Linked DNA regions of Xenopus tropicalis. The protein of the gene in region 1 interacts with the protein of each later gene in a biochemical or structural test. Links are inferred from orthologs where the notes say so. Each region holds a gene or a part of one and is shown in the gene's direction. Other genes may lie near its edges.

Region 1 (6,806 bases):
GAGACTTAAGGGCACTATTGAGACAACTGAAGGTATGCCTGCAGCTTGAGATTAACTCTTTACTAGCCTTTCCTTCTCCTTTAAAGGCATTAACAGAATCTGCCATTACGACATCACTAGAAAGGGCATTCCACAACCTCATTGCCCTCACCGTGAAAAACCACCTACGCTGCTTCAAATGGATTACAACTGCCCCTTGTTGATTTTTGTCAGCCATAAAGTGTGAAGAAATAAACTATTTTTGGTACCTTTTCATTTACAAGAGTAAAAAATGCTCCAAAATGCTCCAATATGCCTGGCAGTTTTGCTCCTGTGAGTTAAGTTCCAAGTGTTATTAAATTGGTATTGACACATTCCTATGAAAATCCATGGGAATGTGTCAGTATTAGTAAAAAAAAAAAAATTGCAGCCAAAAGCCCTCCGAAGCCACACCCAGCCCAGCAATATTTACCAAAGCCGACATGGCTGAAGACTTTTCCATAATTGTTTCAGTCACTCTGGGCTGTGGGCAGCACAATCCTTCCATAGGCCACCCCTCTGCAGGATTGTGTACATATGTGTTCTTTTAGCTTACATACGGAGCACTGGGGACAGGATGCACTGAAGTTTTCTGTGTGTCCTGTCCCCAGTGCTCATTATGTGAGCAAAATTTACCTGCGGCTGGCTGCCATGCACCCCATAAATTTATGCCGCCTTAGGCCCAGGCATTTGTGGCCTTGCCACAAATCTGGGCCTGACCATGCTGGAAGGTTCTGTATAGAGCAGCATTCCTTTTAAGGTTGTTCTCTTTTACATGGTGGAAGTGACTCAAGTTGTTATATCCCTTGCCTGGCAAATTTTTAGGTTTAGGCAATATGGGGCTCAATCACTGGCTTGCAGTCTTTATGGTATAGGCTATGGTATGGGATCCATAGTTGCAGACTGCATATGTTTGCGTACATGCACTGCCTTGGAAACTCATTCAACCTCATTGTTTGTGGGACTGTTTATATTCTTCAGCGGTACATGTGAGGTCCATGACACCATTATGCACACCTGTTTACTTCTAGTTCTACACTGTTATCCCATATCGTTTGTATAATATTTGATGGATGTTGCTTTTAAAGGGGATCTGTCACCCTAATACATAATTCCAAATTCTTTTCTAGTTGAACAAAATAAGCTTTATACACTATATAAATTATTTAAATTGTTTCCTTTATTATTTTGGAATCCACAATCACAGCAACCAGGGCATTTATTATACAGCTTTTTTTATCTGAGTGACTGATCACTACTGAGGAGTATCTGCTGAGCTGGTTTCGCATTATGTCAGTAGTGTAAATATGTTCTATCTAGTTTCAACATAAAGAAAAATCTTCAGCACACCACTTACATACATGTTCTCAAAGGGTGCTTGACTTCCACAGCCGCTCCCTAGCCTTTTTTCCATGTATCTTTGCAAAGGGGAAGAAGCACTCCAGTGTGTCGGCAATGCCTTTAAATCATTTATTTGCAGAAATGAACAAACAACACAAGCTTTTGGGGGTGACCCCTTCTTCAGGTGCACCTGAAGAAGGGGTCACCCCTGAAAGCTTGTGCTATCTAGTTCCAAGTCTTTCAGTGATGCCGACAAGTTGGTGGATCACCTCAAAATCAAAAAAAACTAGGATAAGTACTTTAAGGGTCAGCAGTGCTATGTACAGGATTTCCACCACATAATTGTTTCAAAGGACCATAAGCTGTACTTCACACCAGACTCCTGTTGCTGTTTTTTTCATGTTACACTGATTTGCAACAATTCTGATTTATTGTTTATGTTCAATTAATTTAACCCTTTAAGTGCCGCAATCTGTATGCTGTGGATGTAATAAGCTATGTGCTATAGGATGTAGAGTCATAAGTTCTACAACACTGAGCACTAACACTTTATGCAATCTTCCACAATAGGTTTGGTCAAATTAAAATTTAATAAGCTTCAAGAGTTAGTACTTGGTCTGGTCACACCCCCTTTTTATCCATCATTGTTGCTGTAAATGTGGGAGCAGGTCTTTATTCAGACTAGAAGTGGGTTCATGACCTCTGCAGCCAGGTAGGTTTCTGCAGACACCACTAATGTGCACTGTAAAGAGGGATAAATAAAGGTTACATGTTTTAAAAGCCAATGAAAAATATAATTTAGTACCTAAAATGTATCTTTTAAAACAAAAATGTAGGGTTACAACCTGCTAAAGATACAAACAGTAAAAGTTGTCTTGTATAATAAGAGCCAATCAAATAAAACATTGGCAATAAATATTTGACACATCTTATTATTAGGGATGCACCGAACCCCCGGATCCACCCCAATGGATTCGGCTGAATACTGAACCAACACGGAGGGGTTAAAAATTGGCGCGTGCAGCAATTAACCCTTCCAGATGCTAATTAGCATATTCTTATTTATGATAATTTGGAATCGGTTTGGCCAGGACAGTGGACTTGCCCGAAACCAAACCCTGCCCAAAAAGGCAGAATACCAAGCTGAAGGGTTTAAGAAACCCTAATGTACTTCATACTGAGAATGGCCAGATGAGGCTGTTTTGTGCTAATCTTTAATGGATCTTTCTTATTATATTTTTGCCCCTTCAGAATTTAACATAAAATCGGAAGATGGCAGCAAATAAGCCCAAAGGGCAGAATTCATTGGCATTGCACAAAGTCATCATGGTAGGCAGTGGTGGAGTTGGAAAATCAGCTTTAACACTTCAATTTATGTATGATGAGGTAAGTCATTTTTGCTTTGTTTGTTTTATTACCAAAGCTGATTTGCTGATACAGTTATGAAATCTATTTTTGGATCACCAAATGCATGGACTACTAAATATTATAATAAACAGTTAAATATTAAATAAGACTAAAAGAATAGCTCAGTCACCTGGGTAGATCACCAGGGTACTTAGGACTAAACACAATGTAATGTTCTTTTTTATTATTAGGAAAAAGCTAAATAAACGGGAATAGCTTATAATGGGCTCCATGGGAGATGCCATCCTGTAACTCTAAACTTTCTGGGTATCAGGTATCCAGATAAGGGATCCCAATACCAGTAGAAAAAGAGAGCTGTCCATTTCCCAGCATAAATGAACACAAATGAACATGGGTAAATGGAAAATAAAATACAAGGTGCAATTCAGCATGCAGAAGCTTAAGTTCTACAGGCTGCCAACATTACTATGAGGACTGGTGGCTGCAGCAATGAGATTTAAATTTATATAATACCAATTTTCTATCACCAAATATAATACCAGCCCTCTCTTAACTGTCACTTGATTGTCCCGTAAATCCAGTTGTTTTAACTAAATCCTAGTAACCCTTTCTGTGCTAGAATTAGTAGTTCCAAAGCTGCTGTGCTGTAAGTTTTAAAGCATAGTTGAAGCTGTAGTTTGGCATCTTGTGTTTGTAAACCTTGGGCAAATATGACCTTTGGATTTCCAGCTATTTTATATAAAGAAGTCTTTTATCTAGTGAATATGCTGCAGCTCATGCAACTCAGGTTTTATATTTTATTCTGTGCCAATTGGAGTTAGAGACAGACCTACTGTACATCACCTGTGCTGGGACTTTCAGTTTCAAATCAGTATTTACATATAGCATACCTCCCAACATTTGAAAAATTTAAAGAGGTACCATGCCCATTTTTGTGACCACACCCCCTAAATACTCTGGAGGTAGGTTTGGGGTCTTGTTTTATGTTTTTTTTTACAGTTTTGCTAATGAAGGTGAAATTGCCTTTTACGATGCAATTCTCCATTCCCCCAAGAGACCTGTTTATCTTATTAGTACAATTGTATCTAATTGCAGGTGTTGAGTAGTCTGGGCTCTCTGCCAAAAGCCTACTTATCTGATTAAGTTTGAGAAACTTTATATCTTTTTTGGCGTTCAGTGCAGGTGATCAAAGGGAAATGAGGGACTTTTCAATAAGAACCCGGGACTGGGGGCTGAGCTTTTAAAATCAGGACTGTCCTGTGAAAATTATGACAATTGGGAGGTATAATATAGGCAGGTTTATTCTGCCCTGCTCAGCAGTACGGCTGCCAAAAAATGCTGTGCATGATTCATTTGTTTTCTTACTGCTTCCTGCACCCAGCAAGCTTAGATGAAGACCTTTGTTTAGCTGACTTTTAACAGTTTGTGGGGTGTTTTATCTTCTTCCATAATATACTTATGGTCATGGATTTCCCTGAATGAAGAACATGCTGCTTATGGCAAATGTTGAGCCTGTCAGGTAGGGATTGATTGGATTGAAGGAAAAGAACGATTGCTTCCAATAATTTAATCTATAGATGAAATAAAATATAGTAGTTCTTTGGATACTTCTTACTTGTTTGTCCTTTACTCTTTACTTTGCTCCTGTATTAACTCCTTTCCTAATAAACCTTATTTACAGAGGACATGCCTTCCCTGTGAATTGTACAAAATGACAAAAAGCAAGAGGTAGGAGTGTCCTTTTGGCACTATTATTACTTTGGATAAAGGGTCCTATACCTGTAACGTTCCCAGAATGCTTGAGACCTGGGGTTTTCCAGATAAGGGGTCTTCCTGTAATTTAGATCTCCATACCTTAAGTCTACTAAAAATCATTTAAACATGAAATAAACCCAACAGGATAATTTTTTCACCAATAAAGATTAATTATATATTAACTGAGATCAAGTACAAGGTACTGTTTTATTATTACAAAGAAAAAGGAAGTATGTATTAAAATTTAGAATTATATGCATAAAATGGAGTCTATCAGTGATAGCCTTTTCGTAATTTTTCGGATAAAGTATCACATACCTGTATATGAAAATCTAATTTAAAATATTAAATTGGTATGCTTGCTTCAGGAAATGAAAAAAAAATCTGATTATTTCACTATATAGGCTCTGTTTCTGTGGACAAATCAGAATTACTTTTCCCAGCGATGTCAATAACTTTGTGTTAATGTCATTAAATGTTATGAGCTGCCTTTTTTGGAAGATAGTAATGGGCCATGGTTGGTCATGCCACCTCTCCCTGATATTAATGGGATTTTTCATTATTCAAACATCAATAGCTGTTATAAACTAATTTTAAAAATCTTAGTTGTCAATCATATTTTACCTTCTCGTCCTGGCTGCAATTACAGTAATTTCTATACTTCCTAATGTTACTTAACTCTTCGCATGCCCCTGCCCTCTTCACTGTGTTGCATAACTTGTGCTTGGGTGTGTGCATCATGTCCTCCTTTCTTACATTTCTTTCTTCTCTTACATGGAATTTTGGGATAATGCATAGTTTGCCTTGTTTCCACAAAATGGCACCTGCCTGAATTATTTCTTAGTGACAGATCACCTTTTACCCAATAATAGGACAAATTCAGGCAGCAAACAATTTTTGCAGCTCAATAATTTCACACCTCTGCATAAAATAATTACATAGCTTAAGAAATATTCTTATTTGTACATGGCATTGAAGTGTCAATGTATTTTAATGCTGTAGTGTTGCTCTTGTCCAAAGAAGGCCACAGCCATCTTTCCCTAGGCTCCCTGGTATCCCTTGCTCTGAGCCAAGACCATATTCAATTTAAGGCCCTTCCATTTGGGCTTAAAGAATAAGTAAACGTTTTGCAGCTCAGATAAGTAACTTCCTTATCTATAATGAAGCTCTGTCCGCTTTAGTATACTAAGCTTTCCTTCACCACCATTGAACAGGAAGCTGGTAAAAGAACTGTCTACTTGCCCATGCTTGCTGGCTCCTGCTCGACTGCAGATCAGGCATGCACTTTTTTGATAAAATATCATTCTGGATCCATACATACCAAGCATGAATGGCGTGTAAACTGCCTCTCCCACATGTTAATATATGTGTAATATAGTTGTGTTTTGGACTTATTGGAAATTGTATTATATTTGTTATATTTGCAGTATAATGTGTATGCACTGTGTGTTGATTAAATACAATTCAAAGAGAACTCTCTGTTCTCCTGTGGCTTTTTATTACACCAACTGGTAGCGATGTAAATCGCCAGTGGAAAAATATCCATGGCACTTTGGTATTCTGCAGTTGCACAAAGTCACAGAGACTGCGCTGTTCCCCCCGCAAAAAAAAAATCTTCAAAGGTGCCCTGTGTTTAATTCAAGTGCAACCCACTCACCCCTCCTGTTCCCCTCCTATGTACTAGGTCTCTAAAGCTTTAGAGCAGGGATCCTCAAACTATGGCCAGCGGGCCAGACCCCGCCCCCGCTGCGTCCTCGCCCCTTGCAGTGGGGATTGGAAGAGGGAGGATGGACAGAATGGGGGAGCTGGGAGAGGGAGGACACCGGAGCGGGCCGTAGTTTGACTCCGCAGCAGGGAGCTGGAGCTGGAGGGGGGCGTACTTTGAGGACTATAGTCCAGACATAAAAAGCTGTATAAAAAAAAAAGTTTATTTTGAATCAAACATAAAAAACTATTTTTTTTTTTATTAAAACATCCATACCTGTTATAAAGGTAAAATATCAGCTGACGCTTATATATATATATATATATATATATATATATATATATATATATATATATATATATATATATATATATATAATATATGCACATGTAACAATTCCAGACCATTCTTAGGAATGTTTTCTTTAAGTTTGTGTTTTGTTTACTAGTTTGTGGAAGACTACGAACCTACCAAAGCAGACAGTTACAGGAAAAAGGTTGTGCTGGATGGAGTGGAAGTCCAGATTGATATCTTGGATACTGCTGGCCAGGAGGACTATGCAGCCATCAGAGATAATTACTTTCGAAGTGGGGAAGGGTTCCTTTGTGTTTTTTCGATC
Region 2 (6,806 bases), on another chromosome or scaffold:
AGTAATTTAAGTTACATTTGGAAAAGGGGAAGACTTGGCTTACGTGTTCACACAACACAACTGGAACAACAGGTTGGGCAGGGATTTCCATAATTGTTTGCAACACACATGCAGTTTATTGGAAAATAATTTGCCTTGACTTATTATATATAATGACTTATTTATTTATAATACTTATTATAAATAAATAAAGCTGACTGTGAAGGTCTGACCTGACTTTATATACTTAAAAATCTATTTGGCGGGTTTGAATTTCCTGTTGGAATCAAATCAACATTTTAATGTGTTCCTTTCCCGATGGACTGCATTTTTAGCAATTATAATATGATCATTGGCCCAAGAGCCAAAAGATGTGATCAGCCATATGACCAGCTTTACTTAAAGCTAACCATTTTATATCCCCTTATGCAAATTTCTTGCCTCTTCTGTGTAATAATTTAAAACCTGAAAGCACTGGCAGATACTTAACTTGATTATGGCTGCTAGCTGTGCCAGGTAATCTGATTGACAAATAAGTTAAGGTGGCCATACACAAGAAGATTTGCTTGTTTGGCGAGTTCACCACGAGCCGATCTTCTGATATGACCACGTAAAGGTGGCCCATATTGAGCTAATTCTAGGGCCAAATGATCAAATTACAACAGATTATGGTTGGGTAGGCCCGTCGGGGGTGCCCATACACGGGCAGGTAAGCTGCCAAATCGCGCTGAAGGACCAGAATTGGCAGCTGAAATCTTCCTGTGTATGGTCACCTTTAGAATATGAGTTAGGGAATACTTGATTATCAACTCACGACATGAAAAATCATGTCCTATAAGTTTTTCCATAACTTGTTTGGAGGGATAACATTAAACAATCCATATTATATACATTTCACAGTACCTAGGGAAAATAAGCAAAAAAAATAAATTCTGAGCTCACATTGCCTTAAGATTATTATCTAGCAAAAATGTGATTGGTGTGGACTTTGCTTTACTCCTGTCACACCTCATAATTATGATAACTGAAACCTTTACTTTTATCTAGTGAACAAAGTTTGCCTTAGTTTTATGTACCTTTACACACTGTTTGTGTGTTTTAATGTCTTTAGGTTATGAGGCACCCAGATCACATGTCTTCCTCAGTGTACCTTTGGGCTCATCATGAAAAGATTGTTGTGATAGATCAGTCTGTAGCTTTTGTTGGAGGGATTGACCTAGCCTACGGAAGATGGGATGATGATGAACACAGACTAACTGATGTTGGCAGCGTTAAGCGAATTGTAACAACACAGTCAACAACTGCAATAAATAAGGTAATCATCTTGAAAACATCTGCAACATAAAGTTATATAAAACCATTATTACAAAACACTGAGGGGGAGATTTATCAAGACGTGAATGCTCCGAGCTTATTTGCGCCGATTTTTTCGTGTGCCCGCGCGACTTTTTCGGACATTTGCGCAGCTTTTTTGGACGCTTGCACGAAAAATTCAGAAAAGGTTCTGCCGCTGTTTACAATAGTTCGGTACGAAATTTTTGTGCGTTTCGGATCGCCAATACGATATTATCGTGACTAATACAATTTTTTCGGAAGCATTTTCGTTATATTTGTGATCTTCAGAAATTATCGTATCCAATCCGAATTTTTCCCATTCGGGATTCAAACTCGTGTTTTAATGAATTGGCCCCTGGTCACTATATTAGAGTATTATAGTAAAATTATTTGCTGCGTGGAACATTTAATCATTTATATGAAGATATTCCACAATTTAAGTGCTATAAATCATAGAATTTAAAGAGCTAATAAAACACCACAAAGTACCAAATAGCAGAATGAGCCAATTTACTGCTTTAGCAATAGCTAAAAATAGCATATGTGCCCACATATTCCCTTTATTGTTTTTTTTTTGTTTTTGTTTTTTTTAATAACCCATTTAAAGCAACACACATTTATCATCTGATCCAGAATAAACCATATAGAGACAGAGTATATGTCTGCTAAAGCATTTGATACAGAACTACACAGGTTACTGACTAAGGATATTGGACTGTATCATAATATTTGTACTTGGAAAAAGAACTGGCTGTAGGATAGGCTTTTATCTTTTTCAACCCAAATTAACTATGTATTTAAATAAAATATGTTATATGACAAGCTGTCATAAAAATACCTCTAACTAAAATATGCAAGAGAAATATATACAATGTTCTGTACAGTCTCATATTTAATCTACAGGGAATGCTGACTTTAAGGTAAAAATCTACACAAACCCTTTTTATTAGGCTCATGCTGAACAATTTACCCTTTGTTTTTGTTTTTTTTAAGATCTCATCTGATTCCACTTCATCTTTAAATGGTGATAACAGACCAGAGAAGAAGAAAAGTTTTGAAGTCCCGGCCAAGAAAGATGAGGATGCAGTGGATTCTTCAAGAATCAGAGGACTGGGAAAATCTAGGAAATTTGCCAAATTCAGTCTTTACAAACAGCTCCACAAGCACAACCTTCAGCATGCAGACAGTGTGAGCAGCATAGACAGTGAATCGCGTAAGTGTGTCTTTTCTGTATGTTATGGAGGTATTTAGCTGGAGCATTATATATTAAAAAGTATATGGAGCATTTTATATTGAAATGTTTATACGGTGGTTATAACTGTGATGAGTATTTAATATATATATACACACAATTCTACTATATCATAGAGGCTGTTAAAGATTTTTACTTGGAGTAGTGCATTTACATAACCAGTATGAATGACTTTATACTTTTGGGAGCCCTGTTTAAGCACCAGTTTAACAGGTTAACCAGTTTAGACGAGGTTTAGACAAGGCCACCAAACAAGTTGATCTTTGCCTGAATTGCCCACATGCTTAGCTAAATCAGGCTTATCATAACAAGACACCTATGCAGGCCTGCTGGGAGTGGAACTTTTTGCAGTCTGCATATGGATCAAATCAAAATCAAATAGAGAGTTTAGGATCCAAGGGGAGAACTGAAATGTGATCCAGCTGGTCGCCACAGTGGTTGCAGTAATTTGCGCAGATTTCTAGTAAATGTTCACCCCCTGTTCTAATCTGCATCCAACTGTGGGGCAATAACTTACTGTATAAAGTGATTTTCTAAATGAAAGTGAATAGGTCCTTATGTTAAGGCATTCTGTACATGATTGCAGATAGAGGATCAATTCGCAGTTTGCAGACAGGCGTGGGAGAACTCTTAGGTGAAACACGTTTTTGGCATGGAAAGGACTACTGCAACTTTGTTTTTAAGGACTGGGTACAGCTGGACAAACCATTTGCAGGTAAATTGCTCTTAGAGACTTTTTATTTGTTGCATTTATCATGCATTAATTCCATTTTTAACATTCAGTTTATGATAATGGTATAGCAGTGTTTTTCTCAAAGGGGCCTAATTGTAAGTACCCACGGAGCGGTTATGTCACCCATGATAGATCTCTGCTGGTGAAAAGCCTTTTCGGAGAGCTCTATCGTGGGTGACACAACTGATCCATGGGTTCTTACCCTAAGGGCAGTGACAAAAAAAATTACTTTGTCATCCAGCATAATTATGAGAAAATGCCTTCATCCACACTGAGGTGTTCTGTAAAGTCTGTTTGCTTTTTACAAAACTGCCCTTATGTCTTAGTGAAGGGGATGTAACTTTGGCAGGGAGGCTGTGTACCATTAGTGAAAAAAAATTGACGCTTCTTATATAATATACCAATATCTATATTAACTGTAGATCTTAAGGTCACAATAGCCTTGGATATTATGCTTTTTCAAGGAAATTATACAAGTCACTCTTAAAAACATAAGTAGAATCTGCCATCAGAACATTACCAGCCATCCAAAACCTCACTACCCTCAATGTGAAGAACCACCTACACTGCTTCTAAGGGGTGGCCTCTGGTGTGCTGATCTTTTGTATGGGTAAGAAGATCCCCCCCCCATCTGTCTATAATCCCCTCTATTGTACTTGTAAAGAGTAATCATTTCCCATTGCACCTTACCATAATTGTGTATTTTTGCTTAGATTTCATTGATCGATACCAGACCCCTAGAATGCCATGGCATGATATTGCTTCTGTTGTACATGGAAAAGCAGCACGAGACGTTGCAAGGCATTTCATCCAGCGATGGAACTTTGCTAAAGTATGTATCAAATGTCCCTTTCTTTCTACTGCAACAGCTAGGCTGCTCATGCATGCTCTCATCCTTGACTACTGTAACCTGCTACTAACCGGCCTCCCTAACCCATCTTTCCCCCCTACAGTCTATATTAAACACTGCTGCCAGAATTCTCCTCCTCTTATCCAGGAGATTTCAGGCCCTTCCCCTGCAAAAGTCCCTATCGTGGCTTCCTATTAAACAAAGAATATTTTACAAACTCCTTCTCTTAACCTTCAAAGCCCTCCATTCCTCTGCTCCTCACTACATCTCTTCCCTTGTGTCTCCATACGTTCCTGGCTAACTCCTTCGTTCTTCGTAGAGCAATCGTTTGGTTGCGCCCCCCCTACTACTGCTATTTCCCGCCTTAAACCTTTCTGCCTTGCTGCCCCTTACATTTGGAATGCCCTCCCTGATTTCCTCCGGAGAGAATCCTCCCTCAGTCTTTTTAAAACCAAACTAAAAGACTTCGTTTTGGAACACTCACCCAGCACCTGACTAGCACTTATATTGTAATGTCACCCACTGTGACCTACAGCACTTATATTTGTGTCTGTAAGTTACCCTCCCATCTAGATTGTAAGCTCTACGGGGCTGGGACCTCCATCCTCTTGTGTCTTTGACTCTTATCTTATTGCAATTGTATCTTTTATGTATTTGTGCTTATTGTAATACTTTGTATTTATCTATTATCTTAATACCCCTGTTTATATTAATGTATTCTACTGTACAGCTCTGCGTACTTAAGTAGCGTTTTATAAAGATATACAGATATACATAGATACAAACTAAAAGGTACCTAAGTGAATATATATAATATATAAGTGCTTATTCTACCTATTAAATGCTGTTTCAGAGCTGTAAGTTGTGTTTTATATATATATATATATTTATTTTTTTTTAAATAGATCATGAAACCAAAATATCGTTCCCTTTCCTACCCATTCTTGCTTCCAAAATCTAACAAAACTGCCAAGGAGTTACCCTATCAAGTTCCAGGGTCTGTGCATGCACAAGTACAGGTGAGTCAGGCATTTCTCAGGGGTGTCTGGGCTAATCCAAGTTATTACAAAAACACATCTAGTCTGGTGGTACAGAACCACTTAGAGAACAAAGCCCATAAGTGATATTCTAGCTCATATTGCTGTATAATTGAAAACATGCAGATAACGTACATTTTTATATATGTCTCCATTTTAATTAATACATTTTAAATACAAGCTTCATTTTAAAATTCCTCAGCCACAATTAATAATAAATACTTTGCAATCACAGTTACAAAAATTCATATAATGATTTTTAAGTTCATTATTGTGCTTTTATAAAATCCTAAATTTATATAGGCAATTTATTTAAGTCTCATGTACAACGGGGAGATGAGTCGTGCGTGGTTAAATCTCTGCTACTGCAGGCGACTGATCTCCCCAAAATGCCTTTCCACCAACCACAAAGTTAATCACCAGTGGAAAGACATACACGTTGCTTAGTTTTCATTTCAAGTTGCCCTGGAAACCGAATGGACGGTTATGCCTTTCCACCAGCGATTCACGTTGTTGTTGGAAAGCCATTTTGGGGAAATTAGTCGACTGTAATAGTCAATAAATAATAAATAGGTTTCAGAAAGGGGATCTATCAGTAATATCCCACTGATAAGTCCTGAACCAAATATAAGAATAAATTGCAAAAGTTTTCAGTGGAATAAAAACAACAACATTTATTGGCTCAAATAAATATGAACATAAACAGAACTCCTAACAAAAGCATACTATACCAAAACATGACCAGGTGCATCCTAATCTCCTAACGCGTTTCGCACCATGTGGCGCTTCATCAGAGGAGGTTAACTGCAGGCGACTAATCTCACAGTGGGCCATGAGCCACTGAGGGCTGACACATATAGCTACTTGTAGCAGCTACTTGTCATGGCTACAAAAATAGACAGTGCAGATAATTTACTGATGATTGTCTCTACGTGTGTTTTAGCAGAGGCTTTTCTCAGTATTGTCTATGGCAGGGTATTTTCTGGCATTTTGTAGCCTTGACAAGTAGCTGCTACTAAGTAGCTCTGTATGTTTTAGGATGAAAACTAGTAGCAGCAACTTGTCGTGGCTGATCATTTACTGATAACTGTCTCTACGTGTATTTTAGCAGAGGCAATTCTCAGTACTGTCTATTTTCTGGAGCTTAGTAGCCATGAAAAAGTAGCTGTTACTAGTAGCTTAGTGTGTCTTCGTTGTCATGGCTGACTAATCTCCCTGCAATGCCATCCTACCGGCTAGAATGGAAATTGCCGGGGGATGGCATACACGTCGCTGCGATGTCCCGCCATTGCCCGTTGTCTTGAGAGACATCACAACCACACGTATGCCATCCCACCGGCGATTGAAATTCTAGCTGGTGGGATGGCATTGCAGGGAGATTAGTCACCCGTGACAACTAAGATTTGTCACAGGGCGACTAATCTCCCCATGTACCCCTGCCCTAAAGGTGGGCGACAACAGTTGTTTGGCCCTAGGGCCAAATGATCGAATTACAATGGTGGGCATAGCCGCTGTCTGATCTGGGACCACATCAACATGCCAATGCAGTCCCCAATCTGATGTAAAATCAAACCTGCCTGATCGAGATCTGGTCAATTTTAGGCCAGATGTTGATCGGGT
Region 3 (6,806 bases), about 23 Mb from region 1:
TTAGGTAATTCACGGGTAAAAATATGCAAGCTATTTACAAGCTAAATAAATGGTCTCCTGTACTGAGTGATCACAATAGCACTTTGTAATTTTACAGCGAGTCTGTATTCTAAACCAAAAATCTGAATTCTAAAATACAAATAATCACAAAGAAAATGCTTGTTTACTAAAAAAATAGACTTCAAATTAGTTTTAAGAAAACGTAATCGGCACATTTAAAGTCTGTTATTAAGTTACACATTAAAGGCCTGTTTATAGGAAACGCATTAGCTTTTAATAATGTTTCATTTATATTTATGTCCTACACGTTTTTTATGAAATGTTTAAGTTTTGCATAAAGGCATCACAGTTGATAAGCCACATACAGTAGTGAATGTTTCCTTTTGCATAATATTCAGTTAGTTTTGCAAAATGTTTCCTCTAATACAGTGCTGTCCAACTGGCGTCCCACAACCCCCCTCTGGGTGGCCCCCCACCTGTCTGGCTGCTTTGATGGGTTACCTTTGAGTAAGCTTTAAATTGTATCAGTACTGAGATTAACTGGCTCCCTGCATGGTTCTCACCTCAGATTCAGGCTGTAATCCCTCTGTATTGTTTAAAAATGTAATCCCCTGTACTGTTCACACCTTTTAATCTCTGCATTGTATATCCCCTGCAGTGTTCACACCTCAGGCTGTAATCACCCACATTGTTCACCTGTTCGCACCTTAGACATTGTAGGGACTGCCTGGACTATGCTGCCTGTGTGTATGGCACACACACGGAGCATAGGGTAGGCACATTATGGCACAAAGGCAGCATAGGGCAGGGAGGGTATGGCACAAAGGCAGGGTAGGACAGGCAGAGCATGGCACACACAGGCAGCTAAGGGCAGGCAGAGTATGGCACACACAGGCAGCATAGGGCAGGCGGAGTATGGCACACACAGGCAGGGTAGTGCAGGCAGAGTATGGCACACACAGGCAGGGTAGTGCAGGCAGAGTATGGCACACACAGGCAGCATATGTCAGAGAGGGTATGGCACACAAAGGCAGGGTAGTGCAGGCAGAGTATGGCACACACAGGCAGGGTAGTGCAGGCAGAGTATGGCACACACAGGCAGGGTAGTGCAGGCAGAGTATGGCACACACAGGCAGCATAGGACAGGCAGAGTGCTGCCTGTGTGTGCCATACTCTGCCTTCCTTTTGCTGCCTGTGGGAGGTGAACCTTACAGGGGTTTGTTAGCAGTTGGAAATAGTCATTAAATGGTCCCTAAGGTGTGTTATTATGTGCTGAGGGTTGCTGTGCTATCCACAGGGGATGAGGACGCATATGGATTTAAGGGTATATCTTAATATGATATAATATAATTCTTTCACATATGATGGTTGATATCCCCGCAGTAAGGACCAAGCAATTGGGTTTTTGCTGCACTACCACTATTGTGATAAAATAGATGTGGTCTGAAGTGGGTGTGGTTTAAAAAAGGGGAGTGGTCAAAACTGGCTTCCATTAGCGGCCCTCCACCATGTATGCTAGAGAAATTCTGGCCCTCGGCACCGCAGAAGTTGGGCAGCACTGCTCTAATATATTTCTATGTGTATGATCACAAGGTGTACTTCATATCCAGGAGTGGTTTAAAATGATTTTGGTGGTGGTACAAGCCTTAGGCAAATCTCATCAGTTAGAACATCTGCTTGTCTCTAGGTGCAAGTACAACAGCTGACACCCTGTTCCAGGAAGTACTTGGTCGCAAGGATAAAGCAGACTCTACAAGAAATGCCTTGAATGTGCTTCAGAGATTTAAATTTCTCTTTAACCTTCCACTTAATATTGAAAAGAACATTCAAAAGGTAATCCCCTGCTGAACAATGTCACCAAACCAATTTGCAACTTGTTCCCTTCATTTTGTTTTTGCTTTTTTTTTTTCTTTTTTTTTTATTGCTTGCCATTAATTCTGCCTGTACCTAGAAACTTGAGGGCAATGGCAGACATTGTTGTTGCCTTGAGCATTTTGTTGCCTGAACTGATAAGAGAGTTGAAAGAATGCTCTTGATGACCCTTTCCTGCTCATGGCAGTGGCAACTGTATTTTTTTAACAAAAGTCTCTCATTCTACAAGTATGGCTGTTCATAGTGATGAGTGAATTTTTTTGCCAGACATACATTTGAAGCAAATTTTTGTTATCACAGAATTTATTTTGTGAAACCATGGCAAAATGTTGGTGCCTGTTGACTCCAGTGCATTTAGCACAACCAGTAAACCTGCTCATTACTCATCTAAGGCACGCTCAAACTGGCCATATACATAATTATAAATGTATAGGATTTTTTATGCAGAATGCTTGAGACCTGGATGAGGAATCTTTCCGTGAGTTGAATCACCATATCTTAAATCTGCTAAAATAAATTTAGATATTAAATAAACCACAATGAGATTGTTTTCCCGCCAATATGGATTCTTGCAGTTACCATCAAGTACAAACTACAGTTTTATTTTTACAGAGAGAAAGGAAATCATTTTTAAAAATTAGAATTATTTGCTTAAAATGGACTCAATGGAATATGGCCTTACTGTTATTTGTACCTTTATTTAGATAAGGGATTGCATACCTGTAATAATGACGTACAAAACAAAGTTTCATGTGGTTATTGGTATTGAGGCCCACCAGTCTCTACCAGTATCGATCTGTTGTGGATATTTATCAGTTAGACCATTGGGCAAGTTTGAATATATTATATGCCAGTGCACCACGTTAAACATTGCATGATGCATATGGAAGTGTTTGTTTTCTGGTATTCTGATGGTTCTTGCTATTTTTCTTGTTTGTTTCTTACTCTTTGTATGTTCTCTAGAAAAAAAATTCACTTCAGTACCTCTGTCCAGTACCTCTCTAAAAAGTGTACTCTCTTTTTAAAAGATATTTACACTGTATTTAACATATTTCTTCACTTGCCAATAAATGTATGGCTAAATTATTTCTTATGGTATATTGCTAGTTTTATACTTTACTTCCATGTTCATATTCTATAGTTTTACATAGTAAAGGGATGAGGTATTGCCACAAAATGTCTAGCTTTAATACAATATAAATATATATACAATACAATATATTTATCTACCAGTAAAGCTGTGTTTTTTTTCCCCGTTATTTTTACGAAGGGTGACTATGATGTTGTCATTAATGACTATGAGAAAGCAAAATCCTTGTTTGGGAAGACTGAAGTCCAGGTTTTTAAAAAAGGTGAGAATAAACTTGCCTAATTGAGAATTGTAAAACACACAAAAAAGGTGAGAATATATTTATCTCTGGTACTAGCAGAAATTTTCTTCAAAAGTTTTATAGAACCACAAATATCTAATAAGTTATTGGTTGTATATTGATTCTAAAGGCTGAAAAATCCATTTTTGTAAGGGTTGTGAATGCTCTTGGAGCACTTCTGAATTTACATAAATTTTCTATTTGTAGTGATTTCTGAGATATTTACAGTTTTAAAATACTAATGCCAGACTATCTACTCATCAGCTGTCTTTGAAAGTTAGAGTTTTAGCGACCCTAAATGACAGTGTACTGCCTGCATATTCAGTTGCTGCACTTTCTCAAGAGCTTTATCTAAAAAAATCACTATCATCCACACTGAAACTTTTAATTTCTTCAAAGTGATTTTAAAGTTGGGCAGTGTTGCATTGACAGAATAAGAAGGGAAGAGGAGCTGTCAGTTTGAAGGAACAGAAACGAAAAATATAAAGGTGGCTATACTGTTTGTGGCCCCTTGTACAGTATTTTTCCATATGGCCAGAGCTTGCTTTTCAGCAAGTGCCACGGATCAATATTCCTGCTTCTCTGTTGCTCTGTCTGTCACCCTTCCTTAATAATTTTCAATGACAAGCTCCCTGGCTGGCACATACATTTTTGGGATTGCAGAAACTGCAAGCGAGTTTCTGAACTCAATCTTATTTTCTTTAAAGTGATTTTTTTTTTTGGCTTGCTGAATTGGTTTTAAATAAAAACTAAAATGTTTTTTGCACAAGCAGGGTTTTGGCAAAAAAAGACTGGAACACACAATAATAACTCAATAATGATATTATAATAATAAACTCAATAATAATATTATAATAATAACTCAAACAATAATTATAATAAACACAAATAAATGCGAAGTTCAGTTACACTGAAGATTAAGCTAACTGTCCCCATAGAGCTTACAATGTAAGTAAAGTCCTTCGGTACACTAATTCCATTCATTTGATATGATATATAATATCACATTTTACAGAATTGTAAGTCTATGTTCATCTTTTAGTGTATGCTGAAGTGGAAACCCGTATTGAATCTTTACGAAATTTACTATTGGACAAGTTGTTGGAAACTCCATCCACTTTGCATGATCAAAAACGCTACATCAGGTGAGATAGACTGTTCCAGTATTTGCACAATAGATTTAATTTGGGTCTTGGGGAACCAGGAGTTTTTTTTTGTTACTGGCCAAGTTGCCCTTATTTTGAATGCTGAATATTATATTGCCATTATTATTTACTGCACTGTTATTTTTAAATAAGGTTAATCGCAACTCTTCTGCTTTTCAACTAGTGACTGCCTTGGTAGTCCTGTCCAAATCTTCTTTTGCTATCACACGTATATTATAAAGTAGAAAGAGACCCCTGAAAGTACAGTATTCCTAATTGATGTCATGGGGATTATAATAAAGACCTAGCCATTTTCTTTATGTCCCAAGGTGCCACAGCCATGGGACTAGTTCTCTGATAAACTTCAGTCACACTTTACTGCTGCACTGCAAGTTGGAGCGATATCACCCCCCTTCCTTTTTCCCCCAGGAGCCAATCAGCACAATAATGGGAAGGTAGCAAGATAGCAGCTCCCTGACACCTCTATTCCTAAAAGTGGTAAATATCAGAATAGCACTTAATAGTAAAATATCCATGACTCCTCTAGTTACATAGAGTAGGAGAAACAGCAGTTTGTTTGAATAGCTGCTTTAAAGCAATTCTAACATGTAGTTCTGGCTCCTTCTGAAAGTTCTGAATTGGGCACAATCCACTGAGATGGCTGCCTACACACCAATATTATAACTAAAAAAATACATTTGTTGGTTCAAAAATACAATTTTAAATGGTAAAATGAATTATTTGCTATGTAAACAGTGTAATTTAGAAATAAAACGTACACCATAAAAATCATAGCAGGATCACTTTTAAACATTTGAGCAGTTGAATTAGTCCTTTTTTGAGTTCACCTCTATAACTTTGCATACATCAGTCTAATATTATACTATTATCTTTTATACTACCCTCTAAATAAATTCCTCTTTTCTAATCATAGCATAGTTAACAAGGCGTTTTGTCCTTTCAGCTCAGTATGTCACCCTGTGTTTTTTCTGTAAACACCCTGAACAGAAACCCTTTTTATGATCTATTACTTAAACCTGTGTTTACGTTTTGTTTCTTATATTCACCCCTCCTTTTTACAATGTCTGCTAATAGTATGCTAGTTGTTGCTGCTGTGCTGACATTGAAAAAAATCTGTGAATTTAAGGATTTAAACTGTACACCGTTTTTAAGTTGCTCCAGTGCAGTTCTATAATTCTACTTAAGTCAGATTTTTTTTTTGTAAAACACCTGCATCTTCCTCTGGTGAGATTACCCTGTTAAGGTAGTGTTAACATCCTATGCAAATACCCTTTACAGTTTTCAGTGTATCTGCATACATTCCATTTCCATTCTCTCATCGTTTTCTTTGTTTTGGGCAGCAAAACATATCCTTTGACACCTGTAACTAATTGGTTTCTGTATTTGCTATTTTAAGATATTTTTAACTGGGCATTTGAAGCCCTCAGTTGTTCTTTCTGGTGTTTGAAGTAAAGTGTTCTGAGCTTCTGTTTGAAATCTCACATAAATTAGGCGTATGCACTGAAATAAATAGATCCTGCTGCTGGAAGATATGCTCTGACACTCGCAACAAAAATAAATAGTTGTCATTTTTCAGGACATCATTCTTATAAATCATCCAGTCTACTCATTATTTGAACTAAGCTGGCAAGTAAGCAACTGCTAAATATGTGTAATGCAGTTCTGCAACCATATCCATGCACAGAGGACTGAAGACTATACAGTAAAAACCAGATAAAGATCACAAGATAGATGAAAAAAATGTTGCAGCTTGCTTCTGTTTAGTTTTGTTGTTGTAGGCTCTGATTGATCTCTGATCTTTGGTTTTTGCTGTTACAGATATCTTTCCGATCTCCACGCTCCTGGTGACCCTGCTTGGCAATGTATTGGAGCACAGCATAAATGGATTGTTCAACTCATGCACAGCTGTAAAGAGGGTTATGTGAAAGAACTGAAAGGCAAGGACAGTTATGTTTATACACACACGTGCGCCCAACTTGTTATTTCTAACCCTTTAATAGCTAAATGTCTCCAATTGTGCCCTCAGAGGGAAACATCATAAAAATATGAGAGTTTTAATCATGGTTGTTAAATAGTACAAATGTTTTATGAAAAATTCAGCAGCTTGCATGAAATACCATACATCACATTTTGTGTTAGCTGCAAAGGTGAGAAAGGTAAAACATTAACTTTTAAAAGTATGGTGACAGGAATTTTCACCTTATCCATGTGGTTGGAGTGGCCAAATTATTGAGATTATTATTGCTGTCACTATTTCTGTAGAGTTTGATTTTTGGGGGGAAAGGGGGGATGCTACAGCAGTCTTAGCTTATAGGTATGCATTAACCTGTCCAGTAACGGGCAGAAATAAGCTGCCGATTCAAGCCCTCCAGACCAATTCCGAAATGCCAAATGTCAA

The links.
Region 2: the proteins of rala (region 1) and pld1 form a complex in vitro, tested with the Homo sapiens proteins (2 studies listed by BioGRID). The link is inferred for Xenopus tropicalis from reciprocal best matches to the Homo sapiens genes RALA and PLD1.
Region 3: the proteins of rala (region 1) and exoc2 are reported together in a solved structure, tested with the Homo sapiens proteins (2 studies listed by BioGRID, with this or other methods). The link is inferred for Xenopus tropicalis from reciprocal best matches to the Homo sapiens genes RALA and EXOC2.

Annotation. Positions count from the first base shown.
Region 1 is NC_030682.2:64,534,314-64,541,119, forward strand, and holds part of rala (ras-related protein Ral-A), read left to right. Parts: intron 1-2,610; 5' UTR 2,611-2,631; coding exon 2,632-2,745; intron 2,746-6,635; coding exon 6,636-6,806. UniProt on the Homo sapiens protein: Multifunctional GTPase involved in a variety of cellular processes including gene expression, cell migration, cell proliferation, oncogenic transformation and membrane trafficking.
Region 2 is NC_030681.2:111,419,558-111,426,363, forward strand, and holds part of pld1 (phospholipase D1), read left to right. Parts: intron 1-1,090; coding exon 1,091-1,294; intron 1,295-2,307; coding exon 2,308-2,527; intron 2,528-3,152; coding exon 3,153-3,281; intron 3,282-4,012; coding exon 4,013-4,131; intron 4,132-5,054; coding exon 5,055-5,168; intron 5,169-6,806. UniProt on the Homo sapiens protein: Function as phospholipase selective for phosphatidylcholine. Implicated as a critical step in numerous cellular pathways, including signal transduction, membrane trafficking, and the regulation of mitosis.
Region 3 is NC_030682.2:87,112,330-87,119,135, forward strand, and holds part of exoc2 (exocyst complex component 2), read left to right. Parts: intron 1-1,687; coding exon 1,688-1,833; intron 1,834-3,142; coding exon 3,143-3,224; intron 3,225-4,284; coding exon 4,285-4,387; intron 4,388-6,226; coding exon 6,227-6,345; intron 6,346-6,806. UniProt on the Homo sapiens protein: Component of the exocyst complex involved in the docking of exocytic vesicles with fusion sites on the plasma membrane.